3 linked regions of the Neodiprion lecontei genome follow. The protein of the gene in region 1 purifies or fractionates together with the protein of each later gene. This does not show direct contact. Links are inferred from orthologs where the notes say so. Each region holds a gene or a part of one and is shown in the gene's direction. Other genes may lie near its edges. The genes, in order: coatomer subunit zeta-1, coatomer subunit alpha and coatomer subunit beta.

The links.
Region 2: the proteins of coatomer subunit zeta-1 (region 1) and coatomer subunit alpha fractionate together in Homo sapiens (co-fractionation; 6 studies listed by BioGRID and IntAct, with this or other methods). This does not show direct contact. The link is inferred for Neodiprion lecontei from reciprocal best matches to the Homo sapiens genes COPZ1 and COPA.
Region 3: the proteins of coatomer subunit zeta-1 (region 1) and coatomer subunit beta fractionate together in Homo sapiens (co-fractionation; 8 studies listed by BioGRID and IntAct, with this or other methods). This does not show direct contact. The link is inferred for Neodiprion lecontei from reciprocal best matches to the Homo sapiens genes COPZ1 and COPB1.

Annotation. Positions count from the first base shown.
Region 1 is NC_060264.1:32,064,294-32,068,007, forward strand, and holds coatomer subunit zeta-1, read left to right. Parts: upstream 1-1,162; 5' UTR 1,163-1,279; coding exon 1,280-1,297; intron 1,298-1,594; coding exon 1,595-1,840; intron 1,841-2,033; coding exon 2,034-2,167; intron 2,168-2,337; coding exon 2,338-2,428; intron 2,429-2,571; coding exon 2,572-2,619; 3' UTR 2,620-2,749; downstream 2,750-3,714. Other genes in the region: heat shock 70 kDa protein 14, read right to left, coding at 1-24, 104-537, 703-783, 985-1,050. UniProt on the Homo sapiens protein: The coatomer is a cytosolic protein complex that binds to dilysine motifs and reversibly associates with Golgi non-clathrin-coated vesicles, which further mediate biosynthetic protein transport from the ER, via the Golgi up to the trans Golgi network.
Region 2 is NC_060264.1:35,964,455-35,968,819, forward strand, and holds the start of coatomer subunit alpha, read left to right. Parts: upstream 1-1,864; 5' UTR 1,865-1,992; coding exon 1,993-2,072; intron 2,073-3,012; exon of another isoform or gene 3,013-3,210; coding exon of another isoform or gene 3,211-4,323; intron 4,324-4,365. Other genes in the region: uncharacterized protein LOC107217266, read right to left, coding at 3,211-4,323. UniProt on the Homo sapiens protein: The coatomer is a cytosolic protein complex that binds to dilysine motifs and reversibly associates with Golgi non-clathrin-coated vesicles, which further mediate biosynthetic protein transport from the ER, via the Golgi up to the trans Golgi network.
Region 3 is NC_060265.1:2,317,526-2,321,890, reverse strand, and holds the start of coatomer subunit beta, read left to right. Parts: upstream 1-1,207; 5' UTR 1,208-1,403; intron 1,404-1,737; 5' UTR 1,738-1,751; coding exon 1,752-2,119; intron 2,120-2,201; coding exon 2,202-2,535; intron 2,536-2,628; coding exon 2,629-2,917; intron 2,918-2,990; coding exon 2,991-3,331; intron 3,332-3,403; coding exon 3,404-3,677; intron 3,678-3,746; coding exon 3,747-4,114; intron 4,115-4,196; coding exon 4,197-4,335; intron 4,336-4,365. UniProt on the Homo sapiens protein: The coatomer is a cytosolic protein complex that binds to dilysine motifs and reversibly associates with Golgi non-clathrin-coated vesicles, which further mediate biosynthetic protein transport from the ER, via the Golgi up to the trans Golgi network.

The DNA of each region.
Region 1 (3,714 bases):
CCTATTCTGTAGACTAGCACGTATCTGTGAAATAAAATTAATGATAACAAGGTCCTTGTACAATTGGGAGCGAGCCTTCAGGCTTGTGAAAATAACTACAAACCCTGACTCTTTTCTGTCTTGACCAATCCCATAGGCCAAACACGCAGCAGCAGGTTCGCTAATAACTTGTAGAACTCTGAACCCAGCAGAGGAGGCAGATTTGCTCCACATTTGAATGCTAGCAGAACTGAATCTGAGCGGAACGCAAAGTACGACGTTGTGCTCATTGTCATCATGTGCTGCGGTAGTGGAAATACTGTACATGACCTCGAATATTCTAGTTGCAACTTCGACGGGAAGTATTTTCTCCATCCTTTCATTCCTCTTTATTAAATATTGTACTGTGTCTTTCTCTGTTATTATTTTACAGGTGCTACTCTTTACTGCTAACTCCAGCTCCGTCTCGTCAATGTTTTTATTCATTAATCTCTTATTGTTCAATACAGAGACCGGACCATTCCTGAAGAGTCCAGCCTTGGCCGCCAAGCCGATCACCTTGAAAATTGTAATGGATAGACGTTACAACGCTGCAATAGGATAAATTTATAAAACACTAGTGGCAGGGGAGCGAATAATTCAAGGCAAACTAGCGAAAGAAAGGATGCGAGAGCAGATCCTAACCTAAAAATGTTATAGATATGCCGTAAAATAGAGTTTCACCTCTTCGGTTTCGTTGAAGGCGACCACAGCCGCGGTGACTCGCTCGCCGGCTTCGTTTGCGACGACGTCAACGTTGTCATCCTGTGAAAATTGATTGAATCAGGGTTATTGATGTGACGTTTTGGCTAGGTTAGAACGAGGCAGCGCGTCCATGTGTCATACATGCGGTTATCTTCCAGTGATAAAATGGTTGGAACTGACTGGTTATTATGAGACGAAAATGCGCCTCCCGCCCGTCAAAAAATATCCAGTTATGCTAGAAATTATCCAGTCACAATTTACCTTAAATATCGCCAAACAGGCTGAGGTGTTTCCTAAATAAAGACCGAATGCGGCTACCGATGCCATGTTTGTACATTCTGTAGAAGCACGAAGCAACGGGATTCGGTTCACGATCAGTTACGACACTGTGGTTACGACTTTCTGCGAGATCACGGATGCCGATCAAAACATGCTACGACCCTTTTTATCGACAGTAGCCTGCAAATTATAACCAAAGGAACGCAGGAACTGAAATCCGAATCGAGCAAATTGACACGTAAACAGAGCGGTTGCCCGTTGACTTTTACGCGAAAATATGGACGATCAGTTGCTGGTACGTTTACTATTTAAATATGTCTTTTTCCAACCTATTATTTAAGATCGAACAATCATCCGACGGGCTGACGGTTCTCTGTCATATTCCTGACCACTTATGTACGGTCGTCGAATATTTGACGGCTTTTGACTGTGTCGCTTCGACTCAACCTAACCTAACCTAACCTAAGAATTTCTACTTAATTTATTTCGAATGACGTTACTCGTCAAATTTAATTGGTTCATCTGTTTTTTCCAATGAATCCATTCTTTTCGTTGAACAATCTTATTATAATGACGTGTCTTTTTTTATCAGGAACCCTCACTATACACCGTCAAGGGTATGGTGATACTGGATAATGATGGCAACAGAATACTGGCAAAGTATTACGACAAGAATGTATTTCCAACTTCAAAGGAGCAGAAAGCCTTTGAGAAAAATCTCTTCAACAAGACACACAGAGCTAACACAGAAATTATCATGCTGGATGGTCTGACGTGTGTTTATAAGAGCAATGTCGATCTATTCTTCTATGTAATGGGCAGCTCTCGTGAAAACGAGGTTTGTCATGTTTTCTTTTGTTCTTATCTTTTTGTAAATGAACAATGCAAATATCTACTTCTAGCTGCTCATGTTGGCGAATAATAGGATTTTCACTAACCCAACTGGTCAGGATTTATCATTAGCTTCTTTGACAGTGAATAATTCTTTGTTAAACTATAATTAGAGATTTTTAAATCATTTCACGTTACAGCTAATTCTTATGAGCGTGCTGAATTGCTTATATGATTCCATAAGTCAAATTTTGAGAAAGAATGTTGAAAAGAGAGCAGTGCTTGATAGTCTGGATATTGTGATGCTGGCTATGGATGAAATCTGCGATAATGGGTAAGTTTTCTGAGATATTGGATTTCCAGATGATTGAAAAATATTTGTATGAACTAGTAAAGCTAGTTTGCACTACATAAAAAAAAATTCCGAAACCCATATGAATTGAATCCGAGCTCAACTTATGGTTAATTATTCCTCATACAAATTAAGATATTTCTGTTATTTAGTATTATTTTGGATGCCGACGCAAGTAGCGTAGTGACACGGGTAGCACTGCGAACAGACGACATTCCACTTGGCGAGCAAACGGTAGCACAGGTGAGAATGTATACCCCTTATTTCAGTCTTCACTTTCTACCATGTCTCTTTTTCCTATATTATGAAATATCGATCTTTCAGTGTAATCCTATCGTGACTTGTCTTTAGACTGTAATTAATATCTAACCATTTTAATCTTACAGGTTATACAGTCAGCAAAAGAGCAACTTAAATGGTCGTTATTGAAGTAATTTAATTTTATAAAATTAATGTTAAGAAAAAGTAAAAAATTGAGCACGTGACGTGAGTGAAAAAAAAAAATATTACATGATCTATGTGAATAAACTATGTGAATAAACTAGCAACGACTATGATTATAAATCGTTAAAATTGATTATATGAAGTATCGTCACATGAAATTGAATGAGGAAAAACTTTCAGTTTTACATCCATGTGACGCCCCGGTTTTCAGTCGAATATGCATTGTAGTTTACGTGATCGCAAAGCTGAGTTTACGTCAATTATTTATTTTCGTTTCAGTCAAATTTGAATCAGAGATTTAGCCTTTTTTAAAATTCTGGCTCACAGCCACCAGCAGAGCGCTGCGGGCACCTAACATGACGAAATACTTGACGCGTGACTGGATAAAGGAAATTCCGGTACACTTTTTCTCTCTCGTCCTGTGCCGTGATTGGATGGGGAAACGCGATTCAGCCAATCACAGCGCAGAGCGAGAGAAACAGAGTGTACTGGGACCCTCTTCATCCAATCACGCATCCGAGCATTGGAGGAGCGTATAAGCTCGATGACCGGATGACTAAATCACATCGTGCAGCCTGCAGTTGCTACTATCAATAGTTACCGACAAAGCACAGAACGAGTTTGTGGAGACGTTGGAAACGGTGTGCCTACAGGTGGAACCATTATCGGTGCACGGTTGTCTGTGATACTTCCGTAACACATAGGTATGTCCATAATAGAAATAAAAGTGGGAATAAGTAAAAAACAGGATTAATTAAAACGGTATATCATATATAGCCATCATCTCTGGGACGTAAACAATGTACGGTGTATTCTTGTCTCGAGATAACGGATCAACGATAATGTTGGTACTCTCCATTTTTATCAACGAATCGACTGCAGTGCCTCGGGTCGTATGTTACTTGCGTGCTCTCTGCGTACACAATGCAAAACCGTTAGGACCACCGTCAAATATCCTCGTGACCGACTCTGTACTAGGTTCAAATACTCAAGTATTAACCGTTGCTAACTCTTATCCGAAGACCGAGGTTTTACCGAGACGACGCGTAGGCAGGTGCATGGCGATGCGTGTCGCATCAACCGAT
Region 2 (4,365 bases), about 3.9 Mb from region 1:
GTATACGGAACGCGAGAGCACACTGTAAAATCGACAATACATCAATTTATCCGTGGTTTAAAGTTTTGGAAGCGATAATAGGCGCGCGTTGCACGTGTCATTATTGTAATTTAAGGCAAACATCATGTAAAATAATAAACTGTACATATTATGAAATTAAATATTATAAATACGTGAACTTTGTGACGTCAAGCTTATTACTGTCGCGTTGGCCATGCAACATTTGCAGTGACCGCATGTGCAGTAAGTTTGATAATTTATAGCATGTATGTACAGTGTGTGGTGACGTTATTCCATTGTATTCAAATATACTTTACAATATCCCGCCAAGCATGCCATTCGTCGTATTTACAATTATTGCAATACGTATGAACCATCTCGTCAATTACCCTTCTAATAATAAGTAAAGATATTACATATATCTCAACCTACATTCTTGATACTGTAGGTACTTTATAGCGCTAGAATGACCAAACAGAGAGCTCATCAGGTTAGTGTGGAAGGTATAAAATTTTTATACGCAATTGCAGTAGCAATTGGCGGTCCTGACTTTTTAACTATCAAGTGGAAAATGCAGGTCATATGTAGTCAGTTTCATTAAACCTGCTTAATATTGTCGCGCTCGGGTCTCCAGCTAGTCGCTGGAGAGAAAGACGGAAAAACAGTGGGAGAGAAGGAATACATAGCTGTCTTTCTCTATCGGTTTCAGTTGCGTCCACAATCCTCCATAACTAGAAACTACGGACTTAAGGTCATGTAGTGGTCCTACTCTTACTGACCGAGCAATCTCGCCCTTTTTGGAACGAAGTTCCTTATCGCTCGTTCACCGTAGGGGCTAGGCGGAAAAAAACGACACCAAAAAACCGACACTTTTTGGCTATAGTGCTCGTTTGCTATAGTGCGCGCGATCTCCCTCTCTCTCTCTCTCTCTATTCCAGCGTGTGCGCGCGCTCTCTCTCTCTGTCTCAGCGCTTGGGGTGGGAGACGGCAGCAGCGGTCTCTCTCACTCACAGCGCACGACTATACTTCGCCCCTCTTTCTCTCTCCTACAGCGTACAACTATACTTTGGGCCGCAGCGCGCTCTCTCACAGCGTACGTCTATACTTTGCCTCTCTTTCTTTTTATATCTTTCAAAAACACATTCGTACGATTTTATTACCATTCCTTCATATATTTGATTTTTCATTTAATTATTCTTCAATTAAACGTTCTTAATTTATTCAATGAGCAGTAATATAGCGTAAGGAACTTCGTTCGTACCGGCTGTCCCATGACAGCTCTCATGTTTTTTTCTTCCTATATTAAATAAACAAACAAATTAAAAGGATTCAAACACTGAAATTACAGTTCAGTGGGTTGAAAAATGCTCTCGCGTCGAGTTGCCGCGACCATGCGAACCAAGGAACGTGTTGCCGCGCGCCCAACTGATCGTGACAGCTTCTTTTATTTACAAAATTATTGTAATTTCTAGTTCTCAACTAGCGACCTCAATATTGCGTGAGAACAGTTTTACGATAGTTCATTTCACTCCTCATTCTTCCTGGAATTGCGCAAAGTATCTCAGCTGTGCGCTTTTTGGCCCCTGAAATGTAGGAAATATGGAAATATAAGTAAGACGTGTCGAAAAACCACACTTTTTTTGACGGTTTTCAGGATATGAGTAACTTTCCTGAATTACTTGAAGAGCGATGCACCCTCGAAATTTGAATATACCTATATATCGGTCAACGCATGTGTAAGCATGCGGTCTGACTTGTTCTACGAAACTCCGCTAGGTAGCGTGCCTCTGCACGCATCGTTTTGCAGCATGAGCATGTTTGTCTATGATCGTAAACCGACCAATGCTTATGGGCGTCGGTAACAGCTTGGGTAACAGCCATCAGCAGCCATTCTGTCAAGTTTGCTAGTGACGTGTCTAAGTGTATCGCTAGGTGTATCTTGCTGTCGATAATGCGATTGTGATAGAATTCCAGGCAGAAAAAACCTACGAAATGTTGACCAAGTTCGAAACAAAATCCGCCCGCGTCAAGGGCTTGTCTTTTCATCCTAAGAGGCCCTGGATCCTTGTTAGGTGAGATATATTTCACGTACATGCCGTCTTGTCGGATGGCAAGGGCTTAGAGCAAATTTCACTTAGTAATTTCTATACGTAAGAAATTGGATGTTATTCGTGACCGAACGTTGGTCTCAGTTCAAGACGCAACACTCAATACCCAAGCAATTGACCGGGTGTCTTACAATGCCGACGTAATTGAAGTGATTCCGCAGCAGACGGACAGACACGTCATCAATTTTTGACATAACCTACAATGCTAAAAAACCTAACCTTCCTTGAGATAATAAGCGCTCGGTCGATTAGGGTTTGTATACAAATACTTAGTAATTGCCGCTTTGTTTACTAGACAGATTCAATTTTTCCTTGTCAGTATTAAAATTTTACGTATTCAAAGACAACTCTGTCACATTTTTAACCAAACTTTAAATACAAAAAAAAAACAATCTACTTACTGACCTACGAATCACTTGATTCGTGTTTTTTAATTCCGCTACCAATTTTCGAATACTAGCGGCACATTCCGAAAGTTGACCGCATTTGTGTCTCTAACAGAATTGATCAACAATTGTAAAATGATGATGACGGTCGTGCGAGTACATTTCGGAATACAATTTATTGATAACTCGGAAATTCTTAACGAATTATTATCGGACAAATATTTTAGCGCACCTATTTATCTAGCATGTCTCATGGCTCCATTAATAGGGACTTAGGGAGAACGCGAAAGCGACCGCCCAACAGTGTCTTTTACTTTCTATAGTAAATAATTTGAAATGGCTTACTGGCGGTTTGTAGTTTACACAATAGACTACTTCTCGAAAAATTGAAACAATCCGTTCCCTAGAAATAGGTCGCCCAAAATTGGCTTCAACGGACTGAAAGAGGATGCATTGGTGTGGAAATCTTTCAACGAAATAAAGCAAACGTGGCAGTCTTGATGTACAAAAGAAAAAAGTAAATTATAATTTTTTATTCGATTCAATCCCAATATATACACGTCAATGTGATAAGTTACATTTAAGACACGGAAAGGGCTATTTCATAGTTAGACTGCCTAAAAAAGAAATATCTGAACTTCTCAAGGCTATCTAAGCCGTCTCCTACTGCCTTGAACAGTGAATTTAACTTAACTTCCGATGGTTATATTAATTAATCAAGCAACAGCCATGGAATCGCTAACAACCGCGGGAGTAGTTGGTTCCACAGATTCGGTTGCAGTCGAGCTTGAAGGCGATGATGTTTCCGCGGAGATTGTAGTCGACTCTGTAGAACTTTCTGCGGATTTTTCTGTCAACTGCTCAGTAGACGTTGGTAATTCAGATAGCTTTGCGGACATTGCTTGATCGGTAACGGTGACTGAATCCTTGGACGAATCTTCTTCGGTTGTTCCCGAAATCACGTCACTTGTGGCAGACTGCTCCGAAGTACTCTCAACCTTCTCGCCGGTTCCGGAACTCTGGCCGACCTTCAACGGAATCATATCTTGAATTTCTTTCAAATCCTCTGGCATGCTTTCCTCGGACTCCCCGGAGATGTAATTGTTCACCGATGGTGTGAAGATCGGGTTATGATGCAACGACGGAAATAGCGGATTGTAGTATTCCTCAAATGTCGGGTACAATGGATTATAGAGACCCTGGTAAGAGCTGTACTGGTTGTAGAACGGCTCGTACTGAGATCCAAAGTAATTCGACGGCCCATAGCTAGAGAATCCGGACGATAACTGAGGATAATAGGAATTGAAACCTCGCAGTCTCAGGATAGGGTAAGGCGCTTGGAACCCGACACCCTTTTCCGGGATGAACACCTCATCTGGTTGGTCTTGCTTCGTGCCTTCCGTCGGGTTCATGGCTGGAGACAACGCATCATCCTTCGGGACGGGCGTAGAAGTTTCTATCGTATCAACCGGGACAAGTGGCACGGCCGTTGTTGTTTCTTTGTTCATTTCCGCGACTTTCACCTTCTTGTCATCTTCAGTATTGCCAAGGTTGGAGGCTGGAGCCTTGATAAATGGCATCGAACTCAGCTGATCGCGCATAGCACTGACTTCATTGTTCATTTTGACATCCGATTCCGGCCCAGTGACAAAAACGACTTCGGTTTGCCCGCCAGCGAAGTCCTTTGTGAAGTACGAGTAACCCGCAAAATCAACATTTCCGCCGACCGGCGAACTGTAAATGAGATGCGGGGTGAGCGACAGAGGAGCATGAAATTGCGGGTACGGAAACTGGAAGGTACCGAGCGCTGATCCGACGTATATTAGAACCTGCGTGAGAAATTAAAAATTAATTAGGAAAATGAAAGAAGA
Region 3 (4,365 bases), on another chromosome or scaffold:
AAAAATGCTAAGTCTAAAAATCAAGAATAGTAACGCTTACTTTGGTCCGAACAAAGGCCCATTGGATTTTTCATGGAAATTATCACCATTTTAAAAACTGTTGGAATAATTTCTTTGACGTACTTACCATATCAACGTAACTTTGCGGGTAGGATCGATTGCGCGCAGTCCGAATACGCTACGAGCAATGGGTTAAGATTTACAACCGAAAAATTAAAGATCATCTTCGTAATTTTTTTGCTGATGTTCCTTTGCTCTTTTTGATGATCCTGAGGGTCCAATCAGTCTAGAAATGTTCGTACAAATCGATTCTGAGACGAAAGATTGTTTGTTCCAAGAACAAGTAAGGTCAACTCCTTTCGACTTCCGGTGAAAATTTTGAAGATAATGCCAAAATCAATTCTTTGTCGCACTATATCAAATCTAACTCAGTGGAAACGTTGTTTTCCCACAGCTTCGCGATTTCACGTATTAATTATCATTAAAGATAAGCAATCATCTAGTGCCATCTACCATTATAGTAGGTGAGTATGTTGTGATGTGCAATGCCCACACGACTGCCTTGGTGTACCGACATCATTGTTCAATCTTTCCTTTTTTCGTCAAGTACAGACACTTGATCCACTGTTATTGACGTAAATAACAATATCTCCTCCTTTTACCAGAAAACATTACAACTCATGCAAATCATATTCAACATCTTCTTTCGTTGACTAATGATTGCTACAGACAGTCAGCCCTGGGCATTATTTTGTTGGGTGCGTTCCGACGTTAGCTAGATGCGCTAAAAACTCCCTAGGCCAAAGGTTCTATCCGCGAACACGGCAGCGCAAAAGAGATAAACGATGGTTGACAGCTCCAGAAGCTCATATCAGAACGGACCCGAAGCAAGCACAAGTGCAACGTGGGCGCGGAGATAATGGCAGTATCTTTTATTTATCGATTTGATTAGGGGGCATTGAGTGGGTAACAGTAGGAAATTTCTTTACCGAGGCTTTCTTCCCCGCCTCACATTCTTGCGTCGAGTTTCAATTCAGCTTGCCCGTCCCAAGCAATATTCAATCAACGCTACTTCTCATTTTTTATGGGCCGCCGCGTTGGGACTCCGTTCCCTCTTGATTAACCTAAATATGCCCGTCTCTGGCTAACGTGAAGTAGAGGGTTTCGAATATCTGAGCTAGCTTTAAATTTCCCTGGCGCGCCATTCGCTTGTCACGACGGCGGCCCGAACTTCCGTATGACACGTATGCCGTCCGCAATCTTCGTCACGAATCAGTTTTAAATGCTGTCGTTCCTTTCGGAACTACTCAGCGGCGTTATATTTTGGTACAATTAATCCACGTTTTTAAATCACGACGAATCTCTGCCTCAGCTTCTGCTCCTTAAGAACGCGGGAGGAAATCGTACGTATGCTCTTCTTCGGCCGTGAGGCTCGCGACTTAAGGCAAACATAACCTACATGTGTGTCCGTCCGGCCCTCCCATCCTAGAATTACTTTGAATTAAATTGAATAAATGAGCTGTCTGAGTAAATGGTTTGTCGCAGCTTTTCCTTGTCCTTTGCCGACTTGAATATTTCTCTCCCACATCGCTATATATACTGACACTTTGGAGGACTGTTGAAGGTTTCAGTGCATGTGTCAAATTCTCCAAACTAGAATAAGATTCATCCACGAACTTGATACTATAGTATATGTAAAGAGGTGAAAAATCCAGTATTTTATTTTTCTAATTTCAGCCCCAATTTCCACCATGAGTAGTATTGCAGAACAGCCATGCTACACACTGATAAATATTCCAATGGATTCGGAGCCAATCAACGAGCTCCAGCTGAAGCTCGATCTGGAGAAGGGTGACACCAAAACTAAAATTGAAGCACTCAAGAGAACGATACACATGATTATCAGTGGCGAAAGGCTCCCTGGGCTGTTAATGACCATTATAAGATTCGTGCTACCATTGCAAGACCATATGGTTAAAAAATTGCTACTCATTTTTTGGGAAATCGTACCAAAAACTTCTCCAGATGGCAAACTACTTCAGGAAATGATTCTCGTCTGCGATGCATACAGAAAAGACCTGCAGCATCCAAACGAATTTGTCAGGGGATCCACTCTGAGGTTCTTTCAGATTCTTATTTAGCTCTTGCCTAGCAGTTAAATTTTTTGTGTTTGACGTCATCCTTTACACCTAATCTTTTAGATTTCTCTGCAAACTCAAGGAGCCTGAACTTCTGGAGCCTCTGATGCCTGCGATCATAGCCTGTTTGGAGCATCGGCATTCGTACGTTAGGCGAAATGCAGTTTTAGCCATATTCACAATATACCGTAATTTTGAGTTTCTCATACCGGACGCTCCAGAGTTAATCGCAAAATACTTGGACGGTGAGCAGGATATGTCCTGTAGACGAAATGCATTCCTCATGCTGCTCCATGCTGATCAGAGCAGAGCTCTTTCCTACCTAGCTGCTTGTCTTGACCAAGTTCCAAGCTTTGGCGACATCCTTCAGCTTGTTATCGTCGAACTGATTTACAAGGTAAGCTTTCTGCAATTTAATTATCTTTCAAAGAAAAAACAAAGTCCATATTTCAATGTATTTACGAACTCTAAATTCATATTATTCTTGCAGGTGTGCCATGCAAATCCATCAGAGAGAGCTAGATTTATCCGTTGCATCTATAGTTTGCTAAACTCACCAAGCGCGGCTGTTCGGTATGAAGCTGCTGGTACACTGGTTACCCTGTCTAGTGCCCCAACAGCAATACGAGCTGCTGCTGCATCCTATGTAGAACTGGTAGTTAAAGAGAGTGACAATAATGTGAAGTTGATTGTTCTGGATCGACTTATTGCCATGAAGGACAGCCCTGCCCATGAAAGAGTATTACAGGATCTTGTAATGGATGTGCTTAGAGTTTTGGGTGGGTTTAGCTCTTTGCTGCTCAAGAATTTCTTGGAGATTTACAGTTTTACCTGATTGAAATCATCTTCTAGGATCTCCGGCGTTTGAAGTCAGGACAAAAACCCTTGCCTTGGCAATGGATCTGGTATCAAATCGAACCATTGACGAAATGGTGCAGCTGCTTAAGAAAGAAGTGATGCGGACTGCTGGTGGGGAACACGAAGATGCTGGTAGATACCGTCGGCTCCTGGTTAGGACCCTACACGCCTGTTCAATCAAGTTCCCAGATGTTGCAGCAACTGTTATACCAGTTCTAACTGATTTTCTCTCTGAAAATAACGAAGCTGCAGCCACTGACGTTCTCATTTTCGTTCGTGAAGCCATCCAACGATTTGAGCCACTCAGGCCACTCATTATAGAAAAGCTATTAGAAGTAAGAATCTCATTCCCTACCTCTTATCGAATGTCACTTCATTATTAATTTTTCTGTCTCCTGTTCGCTCAGGTATTTCCACAAATTCGGTCGGTCAAAGTACACCGTGCAGCTCTTTGGATCCTTGGAGAGTATGCAGTTTCAAAAGAAGACATCGAAGCTGTAATGAGTCGCATTAGGGCCGCGCTTGGAGAGCTACCTTTAGTCGAGGCAGAGAATAAGAGGGCGGCTGGTGACAAGCCGGCCGAAGACGGCGCTGCCCCAACTTCAGCAGCAAACCCGGCTCAGCTTGTAACCTCGGATGGAACGTATGCTAGCCAGAGTGCGTTTAGCACAGCATCGACTGGTCAGTTCATGTTCTAAAGACAATTTTTACAAAATATGGGCGAATATTGCACTGTGATTGTTCTTTCAGGTAAAAAAGAAGAAAAACGTCCAGCTCTGGTCCAGTACATGATGGATGGTGACTTTTTCATTGGTGCTTCCCTTGCTACAACCCTTGCTAAGCTTGTACTGCGCTACAAAGCTCTCGAGAACGATGCTACAAAGAGCAACAGGATGCAAGCAGAAGCGATGCTCATTATGTCTGGTGTATTGCAGCTCGGTAGATCCGGGCTTCCGACTAAAGCTATGACCCACGACGATGCTGAACGACTGACCGTGTGCCTGAGGTCACTAGCCTGTCCTACACCCATCATTCAAAAGGTCTTCACAGAGGGCTGTAGAGACGCCCTCAGCAGAATGTTCGCTGCTAAAGCCGAGGAAGACTCGCAAACTCAAAAGGTAGCGTGCTTTCTCATGACGATCATAAGGAAGTAATAGGAACAATTTAATCTACGGGCTATAATTTTTTTTCGATTAATAGGCAAAGGAAAAGCCGGGCAGCATCGTACAAGTTGATGATGCAATCCAATTCCTGCAACTCAGCCGTAATTTGGATCTCACTGGAGGCGCGGGAGACGTCTTCGAGCAAAGTCTTAGCGTGGCGGTTGCTGGCAGGCCAGGTATAAAGAGTTTAATGTTTATTTACAATG